Linked DNA regions of Drosophila melanogaster. The protein of the gene in region 1 binds, or shares a complex with, the protein of each later gene. Each region holds a gene or a part of one and is shown on either strand. Other genes may lie near its edges.

The links. Proteins that work in one complex are often made in the same cells at the same time.
Region 2: xmas (region 1) and Nup188 share a complex: the UniProt entries of both Drosophila melanogaster proteins name them as parts of the nuclear pore complex.

Annotation. Positions count from the first base shown.
Region 1 is NC_004354.4:17,155,536-17,161,306, reverse strand, and holds the start of xmas (xmas), read left to right. Parts: upstream 1-2,000; 5' UTR 2,001-2,092; coding exon 2,093-2,136; intron 2,137-2,200; coding exon 2,201-3,734; intron 3,735-3,794; coding exon 3,795-5,771. UniProt on the Drosophila melanogaster protein: Involved in mRNA export and mRNA coupled transcription activation.
Region 2 is NT_033778.4:12,683,342-12,689,112, forward strand, and holds the start of Nup188 (nucleoporin 188kDa), read right to left. Parts: upstream 2,839-5,771; 5' UTR 2,732-2,838; coding exon 2,706-2,731; intron 2,644-2,705; coding exon 1,406-2,643; intron 1,334-1,405; coding exon 1,224-1,333; intron 1,165-1,223; coding exon 200-1,164; intron 144-199; coding exon 1-143. Other genes in the region: CG13148 (uncharacterized protein), read left to right, coding at 3,666-3,738, 4,256-4,439, 4,498-5,353; CG30053 (uncharacterized protein), read right to left, coding at 5,454-5,771. UniProt on the Drosophila melanogaster protein: Component of the nuclear pore complex (NPC), a complex required for the trafficking across the nuclear envelope. Required for proper protein transport into the nucleus.

The DNA.
Region 1 (5,771 bases):
ATCAGTTACATAGTACCTCCCGTAACTCCAGAAGTGTTATCCATCAAAATTACTATCGATGGGTAAAGTAATACTTTATAATACTATATCATATATATCAGGTATATCCCCTTACCTTGCCGGCCGCCTTGATGTAGCGTCGCGTGGCCTCCTTGACGAGATCGCGGACGAGGAGTTCGCCGGAACCACAGGGAACCAGAATGCGAACGTCGCCGAAGCAGACGGTGACCTTCATTTCGTACTTTTCGTGTTAACAATAACTATTATCGTCTTCGATCTGCGATAATAAGTATGTATTTTTGACTGCTGCAATGCACTTTTTATTTTGCACACACATATATGCACTTGATTAAATTGGGCGATCGTTTCTTTAACTTATTTTTTTCTCGAATTTTTCGGATTTTTTCCTATTACTATTTTGTATGCAGCTACTTTTTTTTAACGCTATGCTCGTCTGCCTGCAGCAGCTTTTTGTTGTTCTTGTTGCTGTTGTTGTTACGACCGCATCATCATCATCGTCGTCGCTTTCCAGCTATCGCCATCCTTGTTGCTCCTTTCGCGTGCACAGTGCGCTTGTTGTTGCTGTATTGTTGGTTGTTAGGCAGCTGCAACAAAAGTTGGTCTAGGGCGGCATGGGTGCGAGCGAGATGGCTGCGTGCCTGGAAAAAGGATCGGGATCGCTTTCCAGTATGTACTTGTAGTCGCTCTCGCGCGCTCTCCCTCTCTGTCGCTCTCTGGAAACTGGAACTCTCTTTTGCTATTTACTTAGCATATTTCACCGTAAGGCATCGTTGTTATTGTTTGTTTTGTTGTGTTTGTGTGATTCATACACGCGCGCATTAAAAAAAACGAGTTACAACAACGGCAACCATAATAACAAGAACAACAAACAGCGGGCCAAGATCATTTATTTACTTCTTTTTTTAACGTTCTTCGCTCTCGCTCGCAAACTTGGCATTTGTTTTGGTCAAATTATTATATATTATGCGCTGTAGATTGCATGGTTTTAAATTTACGGTTCGATCATCGTTTTTATATCTTTTCTGTTACTCTCTTTTAACGTTGCTTTTGTCGTGTTTTTCGTTTTCGGTTATCTCCTTTTTCGCCCGTTGGCGTCGCTTCTTTCTTGTTGTTTATCACTTTCAACTATTCATATTTCGATTGCAAGTGGAATAGTATCGTTGACCGCCACTCTTATTAACGAACTATTTGAACTCAAAAAAATGCAAAAAAAATCCACGAGCAGCGCGTTGATTACTGCGCTTCGAGTTCGAATTCGCCCTGGCGAGCAACAACAAATGACCAAAATTCTGGGGATGGCAGGCTCATCGATACTATCGGAACAGCAGCTTGGCTTCTTCGCGGTATTTGGTTATACTTTACTGGGCGGTCACACTACTGCTCGTTATCTCCCGCTTATTTTAAAATCAGGGATTGGGCTAAATGCCATCTAATTCTGCAATAAGTTTTATTGAATTTGCATTGCTTTATATAAGTCAGCCTATTAAATAGAGATATTGATTAAGAGGTAATTAATCGTCTTAAAATATTAAAGTGTAAAGATGAAAATATTTCTTATGTAAGCTATGTATAAATATAAAATACTAGGAACAACCAATTTCGATAGGATTAATTGTATAGTCCTAAGAACGACAGATAGTGTTATCAAGATCGAGGAGTTTGAATCGAGAGCTTAAAAGAGAATAAAAAGAACTTAAAAAGATTGCTACACCTATATATATATTCATATATATATAAGATAATATAAGAAGATGTTCGATTTCATTCAACAGTTTAAGGAACGCCCCAAGCATTTCCTAATTTCCTAAGAATATATGTTTACCAACTCCTGTTAACATTTTATTTATTAGGCAAATACATTCATCTCGAATGTAAAACATTAAAATTTTCAATTAAACCTGAACGATATTGTGTGGGTGGGATAGCCATTGCGGTATTTTTTTCGCGCCATTTTCAGATTTGCGTTATCGATTACCGGCAATCGCTTGACGGCAATATTGTAACAACAAAGCACACATTCGCTCTCATTCAGCTAAAAAAGAAACTAAAAACCTTAAACTATATTCGATCGATGGCAGAACCCCGTCCCGGCGGCTACAACTACAAGACATTATTGTGAGTAAAAGTTCGTTCATCAAAGGCAGAGCGATGTCAACTATAGTTCCATACGAATCCCCAGATGCAGAAACATTCCGGAGCTATTTTTGGACAAATATGTGGCGCGTTCGCACTTTGGACGTTTTGGAACCCTCGTAAACTTCGTCCTGCGTCCGCGGCGAATGACCTGCACCGTAAGCTATGCCAGCGAGGACGAGGCGGCGCGGGCGCTTCTCGATGGCGCCAGCTTTCAGGGTCACCTGTTTGATATATCCTATGCTGATAACGAGACGGCGCCGGCACAGAAAACGGAGGAGTGGGTGGATCCTGACATTCAGGCGGAGTTGAGTGCACTGCAGTCGGGCTGGCGCAATGAGTATGGGTCGGGCAAGCCGATAAAAAAACCACAAAATGGCAGCAGTGGTAGCGGTGGCAGTTCAATGCTGCCTGCCATACCAGTTGGGCCCGCAACGGCGCCGGTGAGCAGAGATCGTACGCCTGCCCAGCTCAGGGATCTTGAGAACATGATGCGCAGACCCGCCCATACAAGCGAGGAGAAGTTCAGCGTGCTGGATGCCCGCGATAAGCTGCTCCGGTTGAACCGAACGCAACACAAGCTGTCCGGTGCCACCCAGGGTCACTGCGCCGATATGTGTCCGGAAAAGGAGCGCGTGCTGAGAGAATTCCAGCGCCAGGTAGCCTACTATGAACTACAACCGGGCTCCGATGAGCTAATCTGTCACGAAAGAGCCCTGAAGCAGTACTCGCGCAGCAGTGCCGACCAGGAGACGCCACTGCCGCATGAACTGCGCAATGAGACTGCCCTGCACATGACCATGAGCTATCTAATGCATGAGATCATGGACATTAGCGAGCGCCAGGATCCGCAAAGCCATATGGGCGATTGGTTCCACTTCGTTTGGGATCGCACGAGGTCCATCCGAAAGGAGATCACCCAGCAGGAGCTATGCTCTCTGGGCGCTGTGAAGCTGGTGGAGCAGTGCGCCCGGTTTCACATTCATTGCGCCGCCCGTCTGGTTGACGCCGATCCCAGCGTCTTTGACAGCAAGATCAACGCCGAGAATCTAACCAAATGCCTGCAGACTCTGAAGTACATGTACCATGACCTGCGGATTAAGGGCGTTCCATGTCCCAAAGAGGCGGAATTCCGGGGCTACATTGTGTTGCTCAATCTGGCCGATGCCAACTTTCTCTGGGACATCGGTCAGCTGCCCGCGGAACTGCAGAGTTGTCCCGAAGTGCGTCAAGCCATTCAGTTCTACTTGGCCCTGCAGGACACGAATTTTGTGCGGTTCTTTCAGCTGCTGGCTGACAAGGATACCAGCTACCTGAGTGCCTGCATCCTAGTCAATTACTTTACGCGACTGCGCGTGCTGGGGTTGCATCGTCTGATCCAGGCGTATAGGTCTCCGCGGAAGGATGAGGTGTCTTCGCTGCCTCTCAGCTACATCGCCGAGCTGCTGAGCTTTGCCAGCGAACAGGAGGCGGCGGATTTTGTCCAACACTATGGCCTGCAGATCAACGAGGCGGGCAGAGTTGTGCTAAGCAGAATGCACACGGTGGAGACGGAGTACAAGCTGCCGCGACAGTATGAGGTAAGTAAATGGTTTTCTTTTTTTTGTTTTATTAATTTGATTTTTATTATCCACTTCCAGTTGGTGGAAGTGAAACGCGTGAAGAGCGTGGGCGAAGTCGTCAGTGGGGAACCTTTACCACCACGAGACCTCTACCTCAATCACCGACCGCACAATAGCTTCGACGATTATGGAATGCTTAAGAGCATTGCATGGACGGCCAAGGATCAGCTGGCTGGCATGCAGCAAGAGGAGATGCAGCCACAAATGCCTTCGCAGCCACCAGCAGTCTCAAAACATAGCGATACTTTGTTTAAGGTGCCCATGCAACCCGACGGAACGGCAGCAGGGTTTGGAGTATTTGCTGCGGCTGCTGTTCCGCCAGCCTCCTCCATCGATGGATTCAGTTTTGTTCTTCCCAAATCACGTGCTCAGGAGTTCCAGGAACAAGCTCCGGCTACACAGCAGCGACGGGCACAAGAAGAGGCCAAGCATCAGGCCCTCCAAGTAGCCATTGCCGCTGCAAAGAAGCGGGAAGCTGAGCTAATGGCTATTCACGAGGCCAAAGTGGCCGAGGCTGAGCGAGTGCGTCAGCAGAAACTCAGGGAACGCCAGGAGCAGCAGCGTCGCCAGCAGCAGGAACTGGAGGAACAACGCCAGCGGGAGCAGGAGAAACTTCAGCTGGAAAAAGAGAGGCAACTGAAACTGGAACAGTTGTTTTTTGTGCAGCAGCAGGAAAGGGAGGCCCACAAACAGACCAGGACTTTGGAGTTGTATCAGGAAATATTCCAGGACACCCTCGCGGAGATTTGCCAAAGCGAGTTTATGTCGCATAGTCGGGCTTGCCGTTCCTACGAATCCATGCTGGACTCAATAACACGCGATCTCGTCGAGCGGCAGATGGAGCAATCCATCTACGAACTAGGCGTCATGAGGGTGTGCATCAGACGATGGCGGAAATATCGGCGAACGCAACAGGAGAAGGACACGCTATTTAACCAACTGCCTTTAAGTTTTGGAGCCGAAAACCCCGAAGGAGTGGTGAACAAACGAAGCATGGAAGATTCACTGCGTCTAAGCAGACGCTATCGACTTGGCGAGCCCTGCGATTATGGCAAACTTCTGGCTGGCCTGGAGGAGCATAGTTGGCTGAAACTGGATCTGTGGCACGTTTTGGACAAGTGTCTGCCGGTAGCGCAACCAGGAGCTAGACGCTTCTACAAGCTATTGATAAGCCTGTCCGGCGGCCAGGAGGGTCTCCAGTTGAACTGCGATTTGGATAGGGGACTACTGCAGCAGCCACAGTCGCCGGATGCTCGTTTTGTGGATGGAGGCTACATCAGAGGCTTCTCTCAGGGTATTGGCTTGAGTGTGATGAAGATCCGAGATGATGACCACGACTGGAAAGCCACCGACCTGGCCGAAGCCAATGGTATTATTTGCTTAATCGGGCTGGATGACATTCGTTTACTGCCGGATCGCTTGAAACCATTGCTGCAAGCAAGCCGCTGTCATGATGTGGCTGTAATTGTTCAGCATCCAGCTAATACCGCCTTTGTTCAACCTGATATTCCTCTCCAGGAACTATGTCTGCGCTCATTTAACATCTTTCGTTTGCGAAAATCTGGAAACAACCGCCAGCGCTTAATGATTGCACTGGAATCGGCTGTAAAGTTTTTGGCCAAAGCCACGGAAAGGAAACGTGTTGGACATCTTCACCAAGTGGAGACCCGCGAGTATTTGCTCGTTAATCTGGGATCGGAACTATTTCGCCGCCTAAAATACGCCGCTGAGCACGATACGGCCATTAGAAGCGACACTCAGCTGAATCCACAGCGTTGTGTGGACCTTTTTAACGAGGCAGTGCACCGCCTGCAATTGGTAGCCGGCGAGGATTTAAGCGACTGGCCCCAGTTTCCCGAGGAGCTGCGTGTCTTTGTGCAGCCACTGCCCATCGAATCATCACTAAACACCAATCGCTTGGAGCACTTTGAACCCGGTTGGCACTTGCCCGAGCGACGTCAGCGTATTGTCCAGCTTTTGGAGCGCTGTAAACTT
Region 2 (5,771 bases), on another chromosome or scaffold:
CCTCTTCTTTAAGGCGCAGTAACTGCATCAGGATACGCATGGATAGACGGACTAACATCATTAAGCCGTGAGGTTGCTGCTGCATCCAATTTGTCTCTAGCTCCATGGTGTACTGGACATAAGCATTGCCCACACCAACAAATCTAAAATATACATTTTATTTAAATTTATTCTTGGTTGGAGTTACGGTAGCTCTTACCTCAAAAGAATCAGACCATTTTCCAAATTTAGAAGGGAATAGACGCACACCTTTACCAAAAGTTCGCGTTGCTTGCAATTAGATTCTTTAGCAGTGTTAAACAAGTCCAGGATGTCGCATATAAAGCTAAGAATCTCGAAGTAGATCTTGTTTCTCTCCACTTGAGAGCTAAAGTGCCAGGTGTGCAAGTGCGGGAAAACATCCTTTAACAGGAATATAAGGCCGGGAATCTCCATCTGGATTTGGCGATTCCGTTTCAGGTTGGAGTACGCTCGCAGGAACCCAATGTATGAAAGCAAGAATTCGTAGCGCTCCCTTTTCTTCTCCACATTATCAATGACGGAGCCTAAAAAGCGCGACTCAAAGCCCACTCCATTGGCATTGGCATACATCTTGAAGTCGTAGTGAGATCCCGGGCTTACTGTTGGCAAGATGTGTAGGTTGCTTATCCGCGAAAAGATTTCCTCGTCTACCAACGGCAGCAGCGCAGTGCAAACATTGAGACAGCTAGACAAAAGTCCAACCGGTGGGTATTGAACGCTTTTGAACGTGTGCAGCAGATCAACGCACATCTCGGTAGGATGCACCATTTCGGCGCTGATGCCGGATATCGATTGACTGAGCTTAACGGCACTTTCCAAAAATCTTAAACCAGCTTCTACATTGCGTATGCGTTCGCTCGATTCAAAGTCACCATGCAGGTGACCCGTCTCGCGTAGCAGGCAGTTAATTTCGTGGTGCAGCGCGTCAAAGTAGTTTACCGGGAAACGAAAGTGCATAAAGCAGCCGGACGGATGTTGGATGGCTGTGCAACTAGTTCCTGCGGGTATGGTAAAATCAATTTGCTGAAATGGTTGCACGCTGGCCAGGAGCTCGAATTCATTTGTGTCCACTTCTCTGAGTTTGTGCTGACTTTCGTCGTAACGAAGAGCCAATATGGGCAAAGCCTCTAGTTGGCTCTTGACCTGCAAGATTGTTAAAATAATTTTAACTGATGCCTTTGAGTGTACAAGTATTGGCTTACATAGTTGCCTTGTCCCGCTTTTGTCAGTGACAGTGCCAGTTTGGACAGATGTGTTAATTCTAGAGGGAAGTTCTCTAAAAGAGTTTTGTACAGCGAACACGGACCATCATCTAGATAAATGTAAAGTTGTTCGTTCTAAACTAATTTTTTCGGTTAAGCTCTTTTGATTATATGATACTGACCTTCCCGACTGCAAAAGTCTTTAGCTAAGTGTGGCCATGAGACAAGTTCGCAGAGCAATTCGTAAATGCCCTCATACCGAGCGCAGCTGCCATCGCCGTCGAAGAGGTCGCACAGATATCCAACCTGGTTGTATATGGTTCTTCGCACAATCCGTGACAGCATAGAGTCATCGGCGTACATAGAATGTCTGGCAATTAGGTGCAGTTGGACAAAACACTTAAGATCCACGGCTCGCTTGCCCAGCTGCCGACAGCGGAGCAAGCTGGAGGCATCGTCGGCATCGTTGGTGCCTCGCAAGCGAAGCAGCATCCACGCTAGGAGCAAAGGGCCATGCTCTGGTCTGTGGTACATGCTGGCAATATCAACCTGCAGATCCTCTATAAGCTTTTCAATTAGATCGGAATGCTTCTCGGGCTTCTCAAAGTCGAGGCACTTTAAAACTAACATTAGCTCTGAGTAAGAAAGGCTTCGAATAATCTCCTGATGGTAAGGTTGGCTGTCATCCAGATAACTTTGCATCTTTCCAAAGGAGTGTTGCTTGCAGGCGGCAAATATTCTCTTTATCTGCTCCAACCCCATGGGCAGGTGTTCCGCTAGCACCAGAAGGATGTGCAGCACCTCGTTGATCTCACGAGCATTTCGCTCCGACCAGGCAACTAAGCGTTCCGCAGAGTGGAAGCATTCTCCCGCCATTAGCTTTCTGGGTGGGACTTCGCAAATAAGGCTCTCCAGTTGGTCTAGGTATGAATCTCTAAGGCGGGGGATGGTTATCTTTTCGACCACGGCGCGATACTCCCGGTGATAGGGATGATTCGGTACCTGGTGAAAGACGATAAGATTCTTAACAATCTTGAGGACAACCATGCGTTCCAGGGAGTAGTAATGCCGTATGTCTTCGTGCAGTTTGGCCATATTCGTTTCGGTAGAGATTAGTTGGGTAAGGAGACTCGCCGATCCACGGTACTCCTGCGTAAGGTAGTAGCAAAGGATTTCCCAGCACTGGGCGGATTCTAGATCCAACAGATCCTGCAGTCGTTCGGTGAAGGGCAGCAGCTTTTCCTGCTTTTTCTCTTTGAGCAACGTGCCCAGCTCGAGGCTGGAGGCATTCTTGGGCTTAAATTGGAGCACTCCAGCCTGCAATTCAGAAGCCACGTTCATCAGCTCCTCACGTACAGTATCCTGCGGCGTCTCATAGTGGATTCCTGAGACCATCGGCCACAGGCGCTTCCAATCGGTGCTACATGGCAAATCGAAGGATTTTATTTAGTCATTCAATATTGTCGCACTGCCGATACTCACATCACGCTCTTTTCCACCGCAGGCATTGTCTAGGCTCTGTCTCTTAACAACTACAATAAAAAATTATTTAATAACAAATGTATTCTGTTCCACGCGCAAATTCGCGGCGTTGGAGTTGCCACCTAGCACAATAAAATGCCGGGACAATCAGCTGGTAACACCGAAGGTGTATCGATAAAACGATAGTTCTTGTTTTAAAAAGCCAGTTAGAAAATTGTGATACAGTACTTTATACATTTTCTTTAGCTTACTAAATCTTACTTAAATCAAGGTATGACATCTTAGATCTGATGATCGCTTATAGATTTATACAAATAAAATATACATGGAAAGCACGTGTGCGCCCCATTATTTATCTATTATTGTAGCATTACAGTTAAATTGGTATATATTTCACGCGAATAGGTTTAGAAACCTATTTTATAGGTTTCAAATATAGACGTTCGCATGTGGCCCTTCAATCATAACTTGACACATGCATTTAGCATTCAGATCTTGATATTTCCCAAATATTTCATAAATAGCCTTCCAATCCAGCCGGACTAGAACTATTTAGGTTAGACTTTCCAATCACATAAAGCCATTCCAGTGAGGCTGTGGCTGCGGCTAACAGACCTGCGAAGTCAGAGTGCAAAGTGCGCAGATGCTGCACTCCGGCGCCCACTGCACCGCCCAGCCACCCAACCACGCCATTCTAGAGGCCCATTTCTTGGAAACTAATACCACTACTCCTCGGCTAGCCGCAGCCTCCCATCTTTTCCAGATCTAAGAGCGAGCGAGAGAGGAGCGGAGAAGGCGCGAGAGAGTAGGCGCACTCGAAGTTCACGTTCACGGCGCCTGGAAGCTGCAGCCCGAAAATTGTCCTGTTAGTACGAGAAAACTATTGACAGGCGAAAGGTCTAAAATTGCTCATATTCTGGCAGAAAAGGCAGATTGGACTTCAAAAGTCTGATAGCCGCAATGGCTCAAGTTCAGCTCAACGCAGGAAATGGGCAAGCCCCTAGCAACGGAAATAATGTCGAGGATAATGAACGTAAGTCTGCCGATTGGCAATTGTGAAATCATAATAGAAAATTGAGTGATTGCCCGGAAAGTGCACAAGTGTTGGTCTGCACAGTCCTAGTGGAAGGACATATGTGCATACCTACGCACATAGTGTGTGTCATGTATCAGGATATATGTAGGTATATATGTATGTATCATAAAGGTGTATGTCAGCAGCAGCTAGCATCTTTGACATAGCTAGGATGCTTTTTGGCCTGGCGTTGGGTGATAACTTAAACGGGAGAGCGAGCATGAGAGCAGGATAACAAAGAGAGAGAAATGTCTGAAAGGATGCTGCGAGAGCGCCAGAGATGCCACTGCTGCCCAAAAGCAACAAGTTTTTGAACTTAAGCTAAATCAGATAAGGCTAGAACTACCTCGATTTCGTTAGTTAATTTCGTAGTGTATAAAGGGGTATCAAATATAATTATTATAATCTGTAAGCTTTTATATTATTCAAAACAAGGACAATAATTAAAGGTAACTTATTTCTTTTATTTCCATAGCCTATCAAATAAGTGACGATGATTTGGATGACCTGGATGATGATTGCTTGCTCGAGGAGGCAGATACCTCAGGGGCAGGCAATAATGTGGGACGTGGTCCTTACGAGCGTGCTTGGACCACAGAGGCCACCAGGGCATTGATTCACATACGCGGTCCCATGGAGGGTAGCTTTACAGAGGGCAGGTGAGCAAGGTTTTTATTCCACCGTAAAGACATCTTTGTAAAAGTAACTCCCTTACAGACAAAAACGGACTGCTCTTTGGCTGCACTGCACCCGGCAACTACAGCGACTGGGATTTCGCTACTCCGCCGCAAAGGTGCAGAAGAAGTGGCATAACATCCTCATCACCTACAACAAGAATCTGAACAAAAAATACGTATCCGGCTATGTGCACTGGGAGTTCTTCGAGGAGATGTTCAAGTATCTGCAGGGCAAGAAGGCTGACTTTGATATGCAGTTGCCACAACAGACTTCAAATGCGCCACAAGCTCCACATTCGGCTAATGGGCAAAACCCGAATCCGGGTATTCCCCAGCAACCTTTACAGCTTCAACCTACTCCGGTGAGCCTAAAGCCGGGAACACCCCAAATGCAGGTGCAACTTCCACCCCAGACTGCGGCCAAGGACAGCCAGCCGTATATTACACCTGTGGATCAGGTCCTGCTGCAGGCCCAGATGAATCTGGACAGCAAGTCCAACGATGAGTTCGATGAGGATAGCAACAGCATGTCGGAGGTAGTCCGTCAACCCAAGATGGAGTACGATGGCGATCAAGTTGCGGAGGCTGAACGTACAAACGATAGCAGCCAACATCTGGAAGTTAATGGCAAGCTCTACGATCTGGCACGACCCATGGGCTCGCACCAAGCTTCTGGCATCCCCGATGACATCTGGTGGAAGGACTACTTTGAAAGAAAACTGGAAGTGGAGCGGGAGAAGATAGAGCTACAACGGAGTTTGCAGCGCGAACAGGTGCAGATCCAAAAAATGTCACTGGTGCAGCAGGAGCGGATTGAGCGCATGAAGATCGATGCCATCAACAGCCTGACGGGCACGCTGCAAAAGTTGGTGGAGGCCAAGTGCCGCCGGGCCTAAGATGAATCTGTTCCCTCCCAGTAAATTTCGATAACTTTAGGCTTCGATTCGTCTGTATCTAGTTGGGTGTGTAAATACAATTTCGGCTAACTAAAACACTCTACGGCTGCCAGTCTATCTCGAAAATGCTAGCCAGGGAGGTCAGCTTTCCGTGGGGTTTCTCCAGACCATAACTTAGGCTCCAGATATCCGTGGTAAAGATCAGACCTTCTCCTGCATTCAGTCGCATCCGCAAGCTTGGACATATTCCTTTATTGCAGGGCTTCTTTGGATGGAGAACCATCTCAAAGTGGCCACTCAGTTGCTGGATGAGCACTAGGCCACGCACGTATATATCGGCTTGGTTTCGCTTTTGCTGATGGACTGCCAATAGCCAGCTGGAGTAATACGGGGCCAGGTGAAGTGGGTAGTAGTAGGG